Linked DNA regions of Diceros bicornis minor. The protein of the gene in region 3 purifies or fractionates together with the protein of the main gene of each other region. This does not show direct contact. Links are inferred from orthologs where the notes say so. Each region holds a gene or a part of one and is shown on either strand. Other genes may lie near its edges.

Region 1 (3,745 bases), on a different chromosome or scaffold from region 3:
ATATATTTGCCAATTATTTTTTTTAAATGTAAACTTCAAGAGGAAAGTAATTCGTGTGTTCATACCGTATCAACACTTAAAATAGCACCTGGCACATAGGTGTCCAAATATTTGGAATGAGTAACCAATGAGCACTTAGTATAGGCTAGGTATAGGTTTAAGTCCCCAGTCCTGAAAACCAAAACTCAAATTTTTTCAGATTTGTCAGGAGAACCCAACCTGAACTGACGTGCTATTTATTCTATTTACTGTAAATATTCATACATTTCACTACAGAAATATCAATGTTACAGAGCATTGCTGCCAAAGACTTCACTGGTGATGGGTTATGTTGCTTAATAAACATTATACCGTCTTAAAATATAAAACTCCAAAATCCCAAACACCTGTTCCCTAGTGTTTTTAATAAAATATTTTTCTAATTTCTAATTCTCACAACTCTTACTATCGCTACTCGCATCCTACAGATGAAGAAAACAAGGGCCAGAAGTTAAAGCAACTTCAGTTGATGAAAGCACGTATTTCTTTTATAAAGAAAAAACAAAAAAATTAGAACTTCTGCTATGGAAAGACTGCTATGCAAAGAAAAAGCAAAAGTGTGTGGGAGTGAGAGCACATTCAATCATAGTCCCAGAATTTTCTATCATTCTTTCCACTAATTCAAAAGCAAGATCTTAATGTCTGGTAAGTTATCTTTGGGTAGACTTACACATCAATTGACTCACAGGCACATTTTCAAGGAAAATATAAGAGGGCACTGGATGTAACAAGGATTAACACCAACTGCATATCTTGACACTCTTCCCCAATAATTTCCTGAAAACTCAGACTCCAGGTAAATAAAGAGTGGGCACAGATTTTATCATCTAATATGCACACAAAATGCTAGTGCCAAATTACTGAAATTAAGCCAGCGTTAACTTACTGACATTAAGATTGCAGAATCTCCCTTACCTTCTTTGTTTAGGGGCTTTCTCACAACATACTGGCGGACATCATCCTCTTTAGAGAGATTGAAAAGTTTGCGGATTCTGCTAGCTCTTTTGGGCCCCAGCCGACGAGGCACAGTAGTATCAGTGAGTCCAGGAATGTCCTTCTCCCCTAAAAGAGACAAGTGAACAAAGACATTTTAATTCAACAACTTCCTCACAAACAAGAACTCTAATTTATTGTTTATGCACTGGTAAAAGTCCATTGGTCAAACTGTGGATACTGCAAATGAAAAAGCACTCGGACAATCAACTTTAAATCAATGTCAACAAAAATTGAACTCAAGAACACAAGCAACCCTCACCTTTTTTTACAATGACCAAGTTGAGAACACTCAGGTTGGCATCCACAATGCAACCCCGAACAGATTTGCGCTTTCTTTCTCCAGTCCTCCTCGGTCTGTAACAGGAATGCCCCTTACTCAATAGCAGGCGGACACGGCCATGGGTCAAGACACCCTGCTTCATAGGGAAACCCTGCTTGTCGTTCCCACCACTGATCCGGACCACATAACCCTGCAGGAGAATACAATGACACGTTATAAAATAAAGGACTGTGGCCTCTACGAAGGTGTACCCCTCAATTCTAGGAAGTACAGTTAATTAAGACCGATTTGAAACTTCTTAATATTCTCTGGCCACTAAGTTTTATCTACATTTCCAATTTGCCAAGCTCAATTAGCAAATTCCTTCCAATCAAGTCATATTCCTAGCCTTTGCTTTACCAGCGGTAACAGCTCCAGGGGGAGAAAGACTACGTTAAAAAACCAAAGGACCAACGAGCAACAAATCACAAACAACCCTTCTTGGCACTTTTAATTCAAGATACCCTTCGGAGACCATTAGCTTGCAGGACAAGAACTTCAGGTATATTTTCCCATGTGATCTACATAACCCTGCCAGGTGACAGCTCAACCTTATAAAGTGACATTTAGAAGTCACTAACCCAAGATCAGAAGACAGAACCCTGAGTCTGAAACCCATTACACACCCCAATTATCAACAGCGTTTACCATCTCTCAACTAGTTCCAACAACTCAATGCTGTACTCAATTTTTACCTTCCACTCTTCACCCAGAGCGTCAGCAGCAACTTCTGTGGCCATACGCTTCTCATAAAATGTACGAAGTTTGCGTTCATCGTCCACTTCAATGAGTTTCTGGCAGCCAGTGGCTGGGAAAGAGATGTTCAGCTAAGGATTAAACGGGGGAAAAAACAGCTTTATGAAAACCGCAGAGCCACCAACAAAGACAATCCTAATGCAAAAAGCTTTTCATGTCACCCCCACACAACCAGCAGAAAATCTGAGATGTCCATTTTATTCTCTAAAGCACATGTGTACGCAACAGCGCGCAACGAGCGCCGCACTCCAATTGGGAAGTCTTTCCTCAAGCCTCGCGGAATGATTCCGCGGGCCACAGGCGCTCCGCAGCCTTCACCCTCTCGGAGCAAGGAGGCCGACCCGGGGGCCGCCACCCGGGCAGCAGAGCCGCATCTGTCCCGGCAGGGTGCCAGGACGCCACCATAGCTTGCGCTGCCGGGCGCCGCAGCTCCAGCAGCAATCGCTCGCCATCCGCTTTCCCAAAGAGCTCTGGCCCCAGAAGGGCGAGGCTTGTCCTGCCTCAGACCCTTCCCCAGCTAGAGCCAGGATTTTGGAGACGTAGGACTGCGGCAATGCCGTGTTCTCGAACTCGATTCACTTTCCCCGAGCCTAATTCAACGCCCCCCGCCACTGCCTACCTTCATGCTGAAGCAGCCGAACGCCTCCGAGGCGCCACGAAAAAGAGGCCCAACTTCCGCTTAGCGCAGGTCACATAGGCTCTTCCAGTTCTCGCGAGAAGGGCAGACGACTGGGAAAGCGGAAGTGAGCCTGGGTAGGCTGCACTTCCGGGAGTGGGGCTATTCAGCGGCGTGGGGTGGCTTTGCGCGGTGGCAAGTACGCAGCCACCCTAGTGGCGGGGCTTGAATGAGGCGGCAGAGGCTTAGTTCTGAAGGTTAGCCTCTACACTGCCTGATGTTTCCCGCGTTCTTCTGGGCCAGGGCGGGGCCCCAGTCGGTCCCGGACACTCTGCATCTGATGGTACCAAAAAAGGAGGGCAGGACCGGAGGTCAGCTCTCGGGCTGTCCGGTACCTCAGACTCCGGCCGAACATTTCCAGATCGGGAGCGTGTCCGGCCCTGGTTCCGGCGGTTCACAGCAAGACGCCCTGAAAACCGTGATTTGTTTTTCCTTTAAATACTCTGTGGTCCTCTAACCGCTCTGCAGTCATCGTTGTTCTGTTGCAGAATGACACCCTCAGCTACCCTGTCGCGCAAATCAATAACCACAATTACCCCAAGTCCAGGGAACCATCGGTGCCTCCTAAATAGTCTCCCTGCTTTCTGTGCTGCCTCTACGATCTTTTTAAAACGCAAAATTGTATCACTCCCTTGCTGGAAATGCAGCATTTACTTCCCACTGCAGTTAAATACTTTCCCAACTCCTTACCCTGGCCTCACAAACCTTCCAAAGTCCCAGACTCATCTATTGCCGCTCGTTGATGCCAGGCAGGTCTTTCTGATTAGATATCCCTCGTAAGAGAAGCCTTTCCTGCCCACACGACCTAAAAGAGCGTCTTTCTACTTATTCTCTAGTATAGCCCTGTTTTCCTGTATAGTACTTAATCACGATACATAAAATGATATCTGCTAGATGATAAATTAAGCCAGGGCTCATGTCTTGACTTCACTGGTATAGTTAGGCTGCAGCAAAGTGCA
Region 2 (3,745 bases), on a different chromosome or scaffold from region 3:
GATCCCTGGAGACCCTGCCCTCCCCAAGTCTAGGCAGCTGCAGGAGGGAAGAAGGCGAAAAAAACGAAACAATTCTGAGAAACAGCTAGATGTGCTTGTGTAGGGAAGACGCAAGTCTCTGCGTTCCACACGAGTGGGCGGCTGCAGAGGCTGGGGAGGGTCCCTCCGGTAGCGGCCCCGTTCCCGGTCTCGGCTTGCTGAAGGCGGCGCCCGCAGAGCCGCCCCAACAGCCAGTGTGCTGTGTGATTGACGGGGAGAGGAGGGGTCGAGCAACCATTCCCTCTACGCTCCATCCCCGCCACGAGCCCGTCCCGGGTAGCTAAGCCTGGTGGGTGGGGAAGAGGGTCCCGCCTTCCGACTGGACCTAACAGTAAAAGGAATTGGGGTACCCTTTACCTCCCCGGGAACCATGGCAGAACGGTCGCGGGGCGGAGCCGCAGCACACGCCGCAGCGGGCGGGGCGGAGCCTCGAGGGAACGGGCGGGGAGGAGGCGGGGCCTCCGAGGCGGGCCTGGAAACTGCTGGAAGTAATCGCAGTACCGCCGTCGTCGCTCCTTCCGCCGCGCGCGGGCAAAGAGTCCCCCGCCAGCCTAGGCCGGCGCCCCTCCCCCAGCCAGAGCCACACCTCGTAGCGAAACGCCGGTCTTTTCCCCTGTCCCCGAGAGGGCCGGGACCCCGGGGCTGCCCATAGCTGGGCCTCGATTTCCGCACCGTCCCCGGAGAAAACCCCTCCCCCTTATCGGGATGTAGGAATGCGTAGGGCAGATTCTAGGAGAGAGGTCGAGCCTGGGAACGGAGGTCGGAGTGGTTGGCCGCCTCCACCCCTGTTGTTAGGTGTCCCTCGAAGGCGGGACTCTTGGGTGTCCTTGCCCCACAGATCTTTAGGGAGGTCAGTGGGACGCTGGCCCCTAGATCCACCGCTTATGTCACATGAGCATTCTCAATCTCTAGCTCAGGTGGGGTCATGCCTTGGAAGCGCTGAGACGCGTACGCTCTACATGCACACCAAGGACAGCTGCTCTCGCCTTTCACCGCCCCCACCGCTACTTTGGACCATGACGTCAAGGTAGGCGGGCGGCGGCAGGTGCGGGGCTGACAGGCATCCTCCTTTAGAGCGGAGGGATCCGGGGGCGGGCAGCTGGGCTGTGCTTCGCCTTATATAGAGCGACTAGGGGCGCACAACCGCTCTCTTGAGTCACCCCCTCGCAGGCCCGTTGTGGCGTGTGAGCCGGCCACAGTCTGCCCACCTTGCTCCTGTAGTCTTTGCCATCCTTCCCCGTTAAGGTAAGGCCGCGGTTTTCTCCTTCCGGCGTTTCTGTCTTGAGCCCTCTTTCGAGTTGCTTTCGTCCCCCCGTCCTTTCCAAAGGCCTAATTTTCTTCACTGGGGCGGCCTTTAGGATACCACTCCTCCTGATTTCTCTCGGAAGTGGGTGGGAGGGACCCCTCGAGGTTGGCATGTTTTTCTCCTATGCTTGGGTGGCAGGCCTTCTCTCAGGCGGCGACTATCTACGGGCGAGATGGGCCTCGGCGTGGGGCTGGGTAGTGGGCAGCTGCACGTGGTGGCCGCGCCGGCCCGGGACGCTGCCATGTTTGCTCCTCCACTTCCGGACGCGACTACGGGGCGCCGGAGGGTCCGCAAGGGTCGTGGGTGTGCGCGCTCGGCGTGACTCAGCTCGGCCTGGTGCTGGCCTGGTTTTGCCACCTCTTGTATGAGACGCGTTTTTCAAGTCTAGTCGGTTCCTTCATGTGAGGGTCCGCGACGAGGAACGCTTTCGATCTCTTGTGGCCCGTCGTGCTTTCTCCTTCCAGATCTTTCTTGCAGTCCTGGTGGAGGAGGAGGGGAGGGGGCAGGCTCTGGGAGATTAATGGGCTCTTTGCTCCCCCGCCCCTCTCCGAGAGCTGAGATTGTTCTGGAAGCTTCTGGAGCCCGGCGCCCCGCCCTGGTGCTCGGATGCTGGGGCGAAGGGAGGCTGCGCGGCGGCGCCCCCTCCTCGTGTGTCCCCGGCCGACGCATGTCCGGCAGTGACGAGGGTCGGCCTGGTGGACCACGGCCACCATCTTAGTTGTGTTTGGTTTGGCACTCTACTTTGGTCACATGTGTTGAGGTGTCGCGATGGAGCTTTTGCTTTATCGGTTCTTTGTCTTAATAGCACCCTGGGCGGGTATCCCACTCATCTTAGGGGTTATCCTCCTCTAGTGTGTGAGGCTGCAATGTCACTTTCCCTCGACGTAGGAGATAATCTAGTGGGAGAGCAGTTTCAAATCATTGCCGTTTTAAAAGTAGTCACGTTGGGTTTTTTTTGCCATGTCAAAAAAGGTAATACAATTGTAGTTAGTGATTTCCACATTGAAAGGTGCGTGTGGATTATCTGGGACTCTCTCTCGTTCAAGATAATCTGCATTAGGTGTAGTCTTACAGTTCTAACAAAGCTCCTAGGTGATGCTGAGGCTTCTGGTCCATGGACCACTTAGAGTAGTTTGGATCCAAGATACTTTCCAAAAGACCTGACCTCATATTTTGTTGAACATGTTGGTTTTTCTGTTCTCCCAATTGGTTTCCCGCTGAGGGTGCAGCCTGAAATCTTTTGAAGGAAAGGGTCTTCAGTCTCTTGAGAATGGATACCAGGCAGCTCAAAGCAGTTTGAACTAAATCTCTTCATCTTCATTGTGACTGGGGTGAACTTGAGGAGTCTTAAATTTGAGATCATGGTGTTCTTTAGTAATCCTTGACCATTCTTATTTTAGATGCCTGAGGAAGTGCACCATGGAGAGGAGGAGGTGGAGACTTTCGCCTTTCAGGCGGAAATTGCGCAGCTCATGTCTCTCATCATCAATACCTTCTATTCAAACAAGGAAATTTTCCTTCGGGAGTTGATCAGTAATGCGTCTGATGTGAGTGCTCAGAGCGTTGTCTTGGGTGTTGTTTTTTTTAGCACTCCAGAAAAGGGAAGAGGGGGTGGTTTGGTATTTTGTAGGGCCTGCTATTGAAGGGGATAAATCTGCTGCAGTTACAAAAGGGTTTGCCTTGTTCCACTTCGATAGAGAAGATATTGTAACTGTAACTGGTTCTTAAATGTCAAGGGATAATCAGAATTGAGGCTATTTGGGAGTAAAAATGGAAAAAGTTTTCTTTTGGATGAAGGGAAGGGCTTTAGGAAAGCAGAATTGTAAGTTGCAATTTATGTTTTCAGGCCTTGGACAAGATTCGCTATGAGAGCCTGACAGACCCTTCCAAGTTGGACAGTGGTAAAGAGTTGAAAATTGACATCATCCCCAACCCCCAGGAACGCACCCTGACACTGGTGGACACAGGCATTGGTATGACCAAAGCTGATCTCATAAATAATTTGGGAACCATTGCCAAGTCTGGTACTAAAGCATTTATGGAGGCTCTTCAGGTATGTGATATTTTAGCTAGGCAGGCACAATTCCTCATTATCAGTGTTCTTTAGCTTGCTATTTCTTCAAAATTTGTGTTTAACTTTTTAACTTTGGCAGGCTGGTGCAGACATTTCCATGATTGGACAATTTGGTGTTGGTTTTTATTCTGCTTACCTGGTGGCAGAGAAAGTGGTTGTGATCACAAAGCACAATGATGATGAGCAGTATGCCTGGGAGTCTTCTGCTGGGGGTTCCTTTACTGTGCGTGCTGACCATGGTAAGTAGGCTATCCTGTTGAGATATCTGGGTTAGAGTTCTGGGGAAGCCTATAATAGAGATTTTGAGCATCTTATCTATAAAGCAG
Region 3 (3,745 bases):
CCCCAGGCACATACTTTCTATTACAGCTTGAGAGCAGAGGTTACCCGGTGGAGGGGGCTGGCAGGGAGAGCTACTGCCCAAGAAATACTCCCCTCCTGGAGTCCATTCTGGCCCCAGGCACTATTATTATCACAATTTTCCAGATGAGGAAACTGAAGCAGAGATGTTCAGTAACTTGCCCAAGGTCACATGGCTAAGTCGCGGAACCTCAGTTTCCTTATCTGCAAAGCAGCCTTAATAATGGGAACTACCTCACAGAATTGTGGCTTACGACAACGCCTACCACACAACACTTTCTATCATTACAATTACTCGCCCCTACTAAGACTCCTTCCGCCTCACTATCCATTTTCGCGGTAGAATATTAATAGCTAACACTTGGTGAGTGCTTCCTGTGTACTACCTTAAAGAATATATTAACTCAGAAAATCCTCACATTTATGATCATCACCAATCCCATTTTGGCTGCCAATAGCCATTGTCCAGTTTCAACCGCGCTCCCGGCCAAGAGGCCGGCCCGCCCGCGCTACGTCATCACGGCGCGCCGCGCGGGAAGCCGCGGGGAGGAGAAAAGACGCCTCTTCCTAACTCTCCCGCTTGCTTGCTTTCTCTCCTGACTCATTGCACGGCAGGTGGCGCGGGCCCGGAGGACTCCTCAGGTGGCTGGACAGGCACAGACAGACAGCGGCCACAACAGCCAGGACAACAGCTGAGGTGGTTGGGGGAGGGGCAAGCTTGAGCCTGAGCGCGGCGTCGAACGGCCGGCGCGCGCTTCACGCAGGCGCAGCACGTCCCGCGTCGCGCGCTGACGTACTGACCCGCTGTTTGTGAGCCCGCGAAAGGCGCGGCCCACACGAGGGGCGCGGCCCTGTGGCACGAACACCGGTGTGGGCGGGATCAGGGCGGGCAGTAGAGAGACCCGGCCCAATGGAAAAGAAGACCTCAGGCACTCGCGGCCCCACAGGTCGCCGGGAATTTGGCGGCGGGAGCCAAGGGCGGAGTTTGAGAAAGGGGCTGCGCCCAGTAAGTGGAGCCGAGGCGATTGGTCAGCGTCGACGGCGGGGCCGCGAAGGGGGAGGGGGCTGGCGGGAGGCGGCTCCGAACTGGCTGAAGGGGCTTGGTGACGCGTTAGGGGTAGGGTTTGGGCAAGGGGGTGGGGCCTGCTGGAAGGAAAGGGGAAGTCCCCTGAGGAGTAGGGCTTGTTGAAACGTTAGGGGCGGGATCTGGCCAAGTGAAAGGTGCCGGTCCGGCCAGATAAGGGGTGGAGTTAAGTGGATCGTTAAGGGTGGAGTCGGGGCCGGGCCTGGGTCTGGCTGAGTGAAAGGGTGGGTGATTATCCCGGGAGATTGACTGGAAAGGGCAGGTTTGTGAAGGGGTGGGGTATGGGCGAGGCTTAGAGGAATGAAAGAGTCTGGGAATGGGGCTTGGTAGAGCGGAAGGGGCCGTGATTAGCTGGAAAGTACAGGCCCTAGAACGGACTGAGCCTGGGCGTTAATTGCTCAGTGAAATGGCAAGACTTTGAAAGGGGAAAGAATTAGAGGGGTGGAGCCTAGTGGAATGGGCGGGACCAGGTGGAATGGACACCTCAGTGGAGGAAGAGGGCCTTGAGAGAGGCAGAGTTTAGAAGGCGGTGGGGAATAGGATAGCCTAAGAGATGGAAACTGGTATAGGGGGCGGGGCCTGGGAATGGGCTGGGATATGGGGTCCTCAGGGCACTCTAGCCCCTTCACAGTCACCTCCACCCCACCCCCAGAAACTCGTCAGGGGCGAAGTCCCCCCGACCATGACCTCCACCGGCCAGGATTCCACCACAACCAGGCAGCGAAGGAGTAGGCACAGTCCCCACTCACCACCCCATGACTCCGGCGTCACCTCGGTGAGGCCCCAGACCTGCCCTGATGAGGGAGAGGGGAAGCAGTGGGCCGTGCACTGGACTCTGACCCTTTTCTCTGTTTGGCAGAAGAGAGGTGTTAAGAAGGGTGCCACACTCCGCTCCAGCCCCAATCTAGCGGAGGTAAAGAAGAAAGGCAGAATGAAGAAGCTCAGCCAAGCAGCCGAGCAAGACCTAATCATGGGGCTACAAGGGCTGGTGAGAGGGGCCTGGCCGCAATTTAGCCTCCTGTGACCATCAAAACCCTGAGGTTCTCCATCCTGGACAGTATGGGATGTTCCCTCTGACTTAGGGTCTAAATCCATCGGTGTCTCCCATTTTTTTCCCTGCAGGATCTGAACCTTGAGGCCAAGACACTGTCTGGCACTGGCTTGGTGTTCGATGAGCAGCTAAATGATTTTCACTGCCTCTGGGATGACAGGTGAGGCTGGCTTCTCCAGGCCGTCCCCAAACCACACAGATATACACACTTAGAGCCTGTTAGCAAGAATTAATCCTTTCTTACACTAGCCTAGAGACTGGAAGCAGGTGATTTAGGGAGATGGGGCTCAGGCTTGAAAAGGTTCTTTTCCTTTAGCCAACAAACATTTATTGAGTGCCTACTGTGTGCCAGGAGTTGGTGATACAAACATGTCAGACAAGACGGAGTCCCTTCTCAAGGAGCTGACAGGGGAATGGGAGAGCAGATCATTAAACAGCCAACAGCAGTGTGAGGTGTTTAATGAAGGAGGACTTAAGACCAGAGGATTCGGGAGTGTTTAATAGAGGACCCTAAACTAGCATCCAGGGTTCCCAGAGGCTTCCATGAAGAAGGGACGTTTGTGCTGAAACAGAAGAATAATACCTCCTATTCGCTCACACATGTTGTAATCCATCAGAAATTCTTTGGGCTCTGTGTTTGAAATGTATTCAGTATCTGATGTCTCCTTACCACCTCCACTGCCACCATCATCATCACTCACCTAGACTTGCAGAGGCTTCCTCACTGGTCCCCTGCTTCCAGCCTCACCCCTGCTGTCTGTTCTCCACACAACAGCCTAAAAAAATATGTACTAGGTGATGTTTTCTTTCTTAAAATCCTTCAAGGGCAGACCATTCCTCTGAAGGTAAAGTCCAAATTCTTCATCCTGGCCTCTAAGGTTCCATGTGATCTGGCTCCACATCATCTTGGTGACCTCATCAGCCAGTCCTCCCTGTCATTTGCTTCCCTTCCCTTCACTTCACTTCACCCACACTGGTCCCCTTGCTGTTCTTCCAACATGCTAGGCACTCTCCCATCTCAGGTCTTTACCCTGGCCGATCCCTTTTCCAGAGATTCCTTTCCACCTTCTCCTTGCCCGGTTAACATTCACATCTCAAGGAGACTTTCTCGGAGAGGCCTTTGCCTGGCCACTCTCCCTCCTGCACACCTGATCTTTGTTTTTTATTGTGAATTTTTTTTTTTGTGAGGAAGATCAGCCCTGAGCTAACATCCATGCTAATCATCCTCTCTTTTTGCTGAGGAAGACCGGCTCTGAGCTAACATCTATTGCCAATCCTCCTCCTTTTTTTTCCCCCCCAAAGCCCCAGTAGATAGTTGTATGTCATAGCTGCACATCCTTCTAGTTGCTGTATGTGGGACGCAGCCTCAGCATGGCCGGAGAAGCGGTGCGTCGGTGTGTGCCCGGGATCCGAACCCGGGCCACCAGCAGCGGAGTGCACGCACTTAACCGCTATGCCACAGGGCTGGCCCAATTGTGAAATTTTTGTTGTACATTATTGTTTATCAGTCACCATATAAGTGCATCCCTCCACCCCTTGTGCCCCCATCCCACCCCCCTAGCCCAAGGTAACCACCAAACAGTTTTATCTGTC

What was found.
Region 1: the proteins of HDAC6 (region 3) and RPS6 purify together in Homo sapiens (affinity purification with mass spectrometry; 3 studies listed by BioGRID, with this or other methods). This does not show direct contact. The link is inferred for Diceros bicornis minor from reciprocal best matches to the Homo sapiens genes HDAC6 and RPS6.
Region 2: the proteins of HDAC6 (region 3) and HSP90AB1 purify together in Homo sapiens (affinity purification with mass spectrometry, with the first as the bait; 4 studies listed by BioGRID). This does not show direct contact. The link is inferred for Diceros bicornis minor from reciprocal best matches to the Homo sapiens genes HDAC6 and HSP90AB1.

The regions. Positions count from the first base shown.
Region 1 is NC_080761.1:41,585,254-41,588,998, forward strand, and holds the start of RPS6 (small ribosomal subunit protein eS6), read right to left. Parts: upstream 2,803-3,745; 5' UTR 2,736-2,802; coding exon 2,730-2,735; intron 2,682-2,729; exon of another isoform or gene 2,563-2,681; coding exon of another isoform or gene 2,560-2,562; intron 2,182-2,559; coding exon 2,050-2,181; intron 1,506-2,049; coding exon 1,295-1,505; intron 1,102-1,294; coding exon 955-1,101; intron 1-954. UniProt on the Homo sapiens protein: Component of the 40S small ribosomal subunit. Plays an important role in controlling cell growth and proliferation through the selective translation of particular classes of mRNA.
Region 2 is NC_080753.1:21,618,235-21,621,979, reverse strand, and holds the start of HSP90AB1 (heat shock protein HSP 90-beta), read left to right. Parts: upstream 1-1,188; 5' UTR 1,189-1,284; intron 1,285-2,745; coding exon 2,746-2,892; intron 2,893-3,191; coding exon 3,192-3,398; intron 3,399-3,498; coding exon 3,499-3,658; intron 3,659-3,745. UniProt on the Homo sapiens protein: Molecular chaperone that promotes the maturation, structural maintenance and proper regulation of specific target proteins involved for instance in cell cycle control and signal transduction. Undergoes a functional cycle linked to its ATPase activity.
Region 3 is NC_080781.1:42,093,864-42,097,608, forward strand, and holds the start of HDAC6 (histone deacetylase 6), read left to right. Parts: upstream 1-747; 5' UTR 748-927; coding exon 928-1,023; intron 1,024-1,222; exon of another isoform or gene 1,223-1,363; intron 1,364-1,437; exon of another isoform or gene 1,438-1,664; intron 1,665-1,753; coding exon 1,754-1,876; intron 1,877-1,960; coding exon 1,961-2,089; intron 2,090-2,223; coding exon 2,224-2,312; intron 2,313-3,745.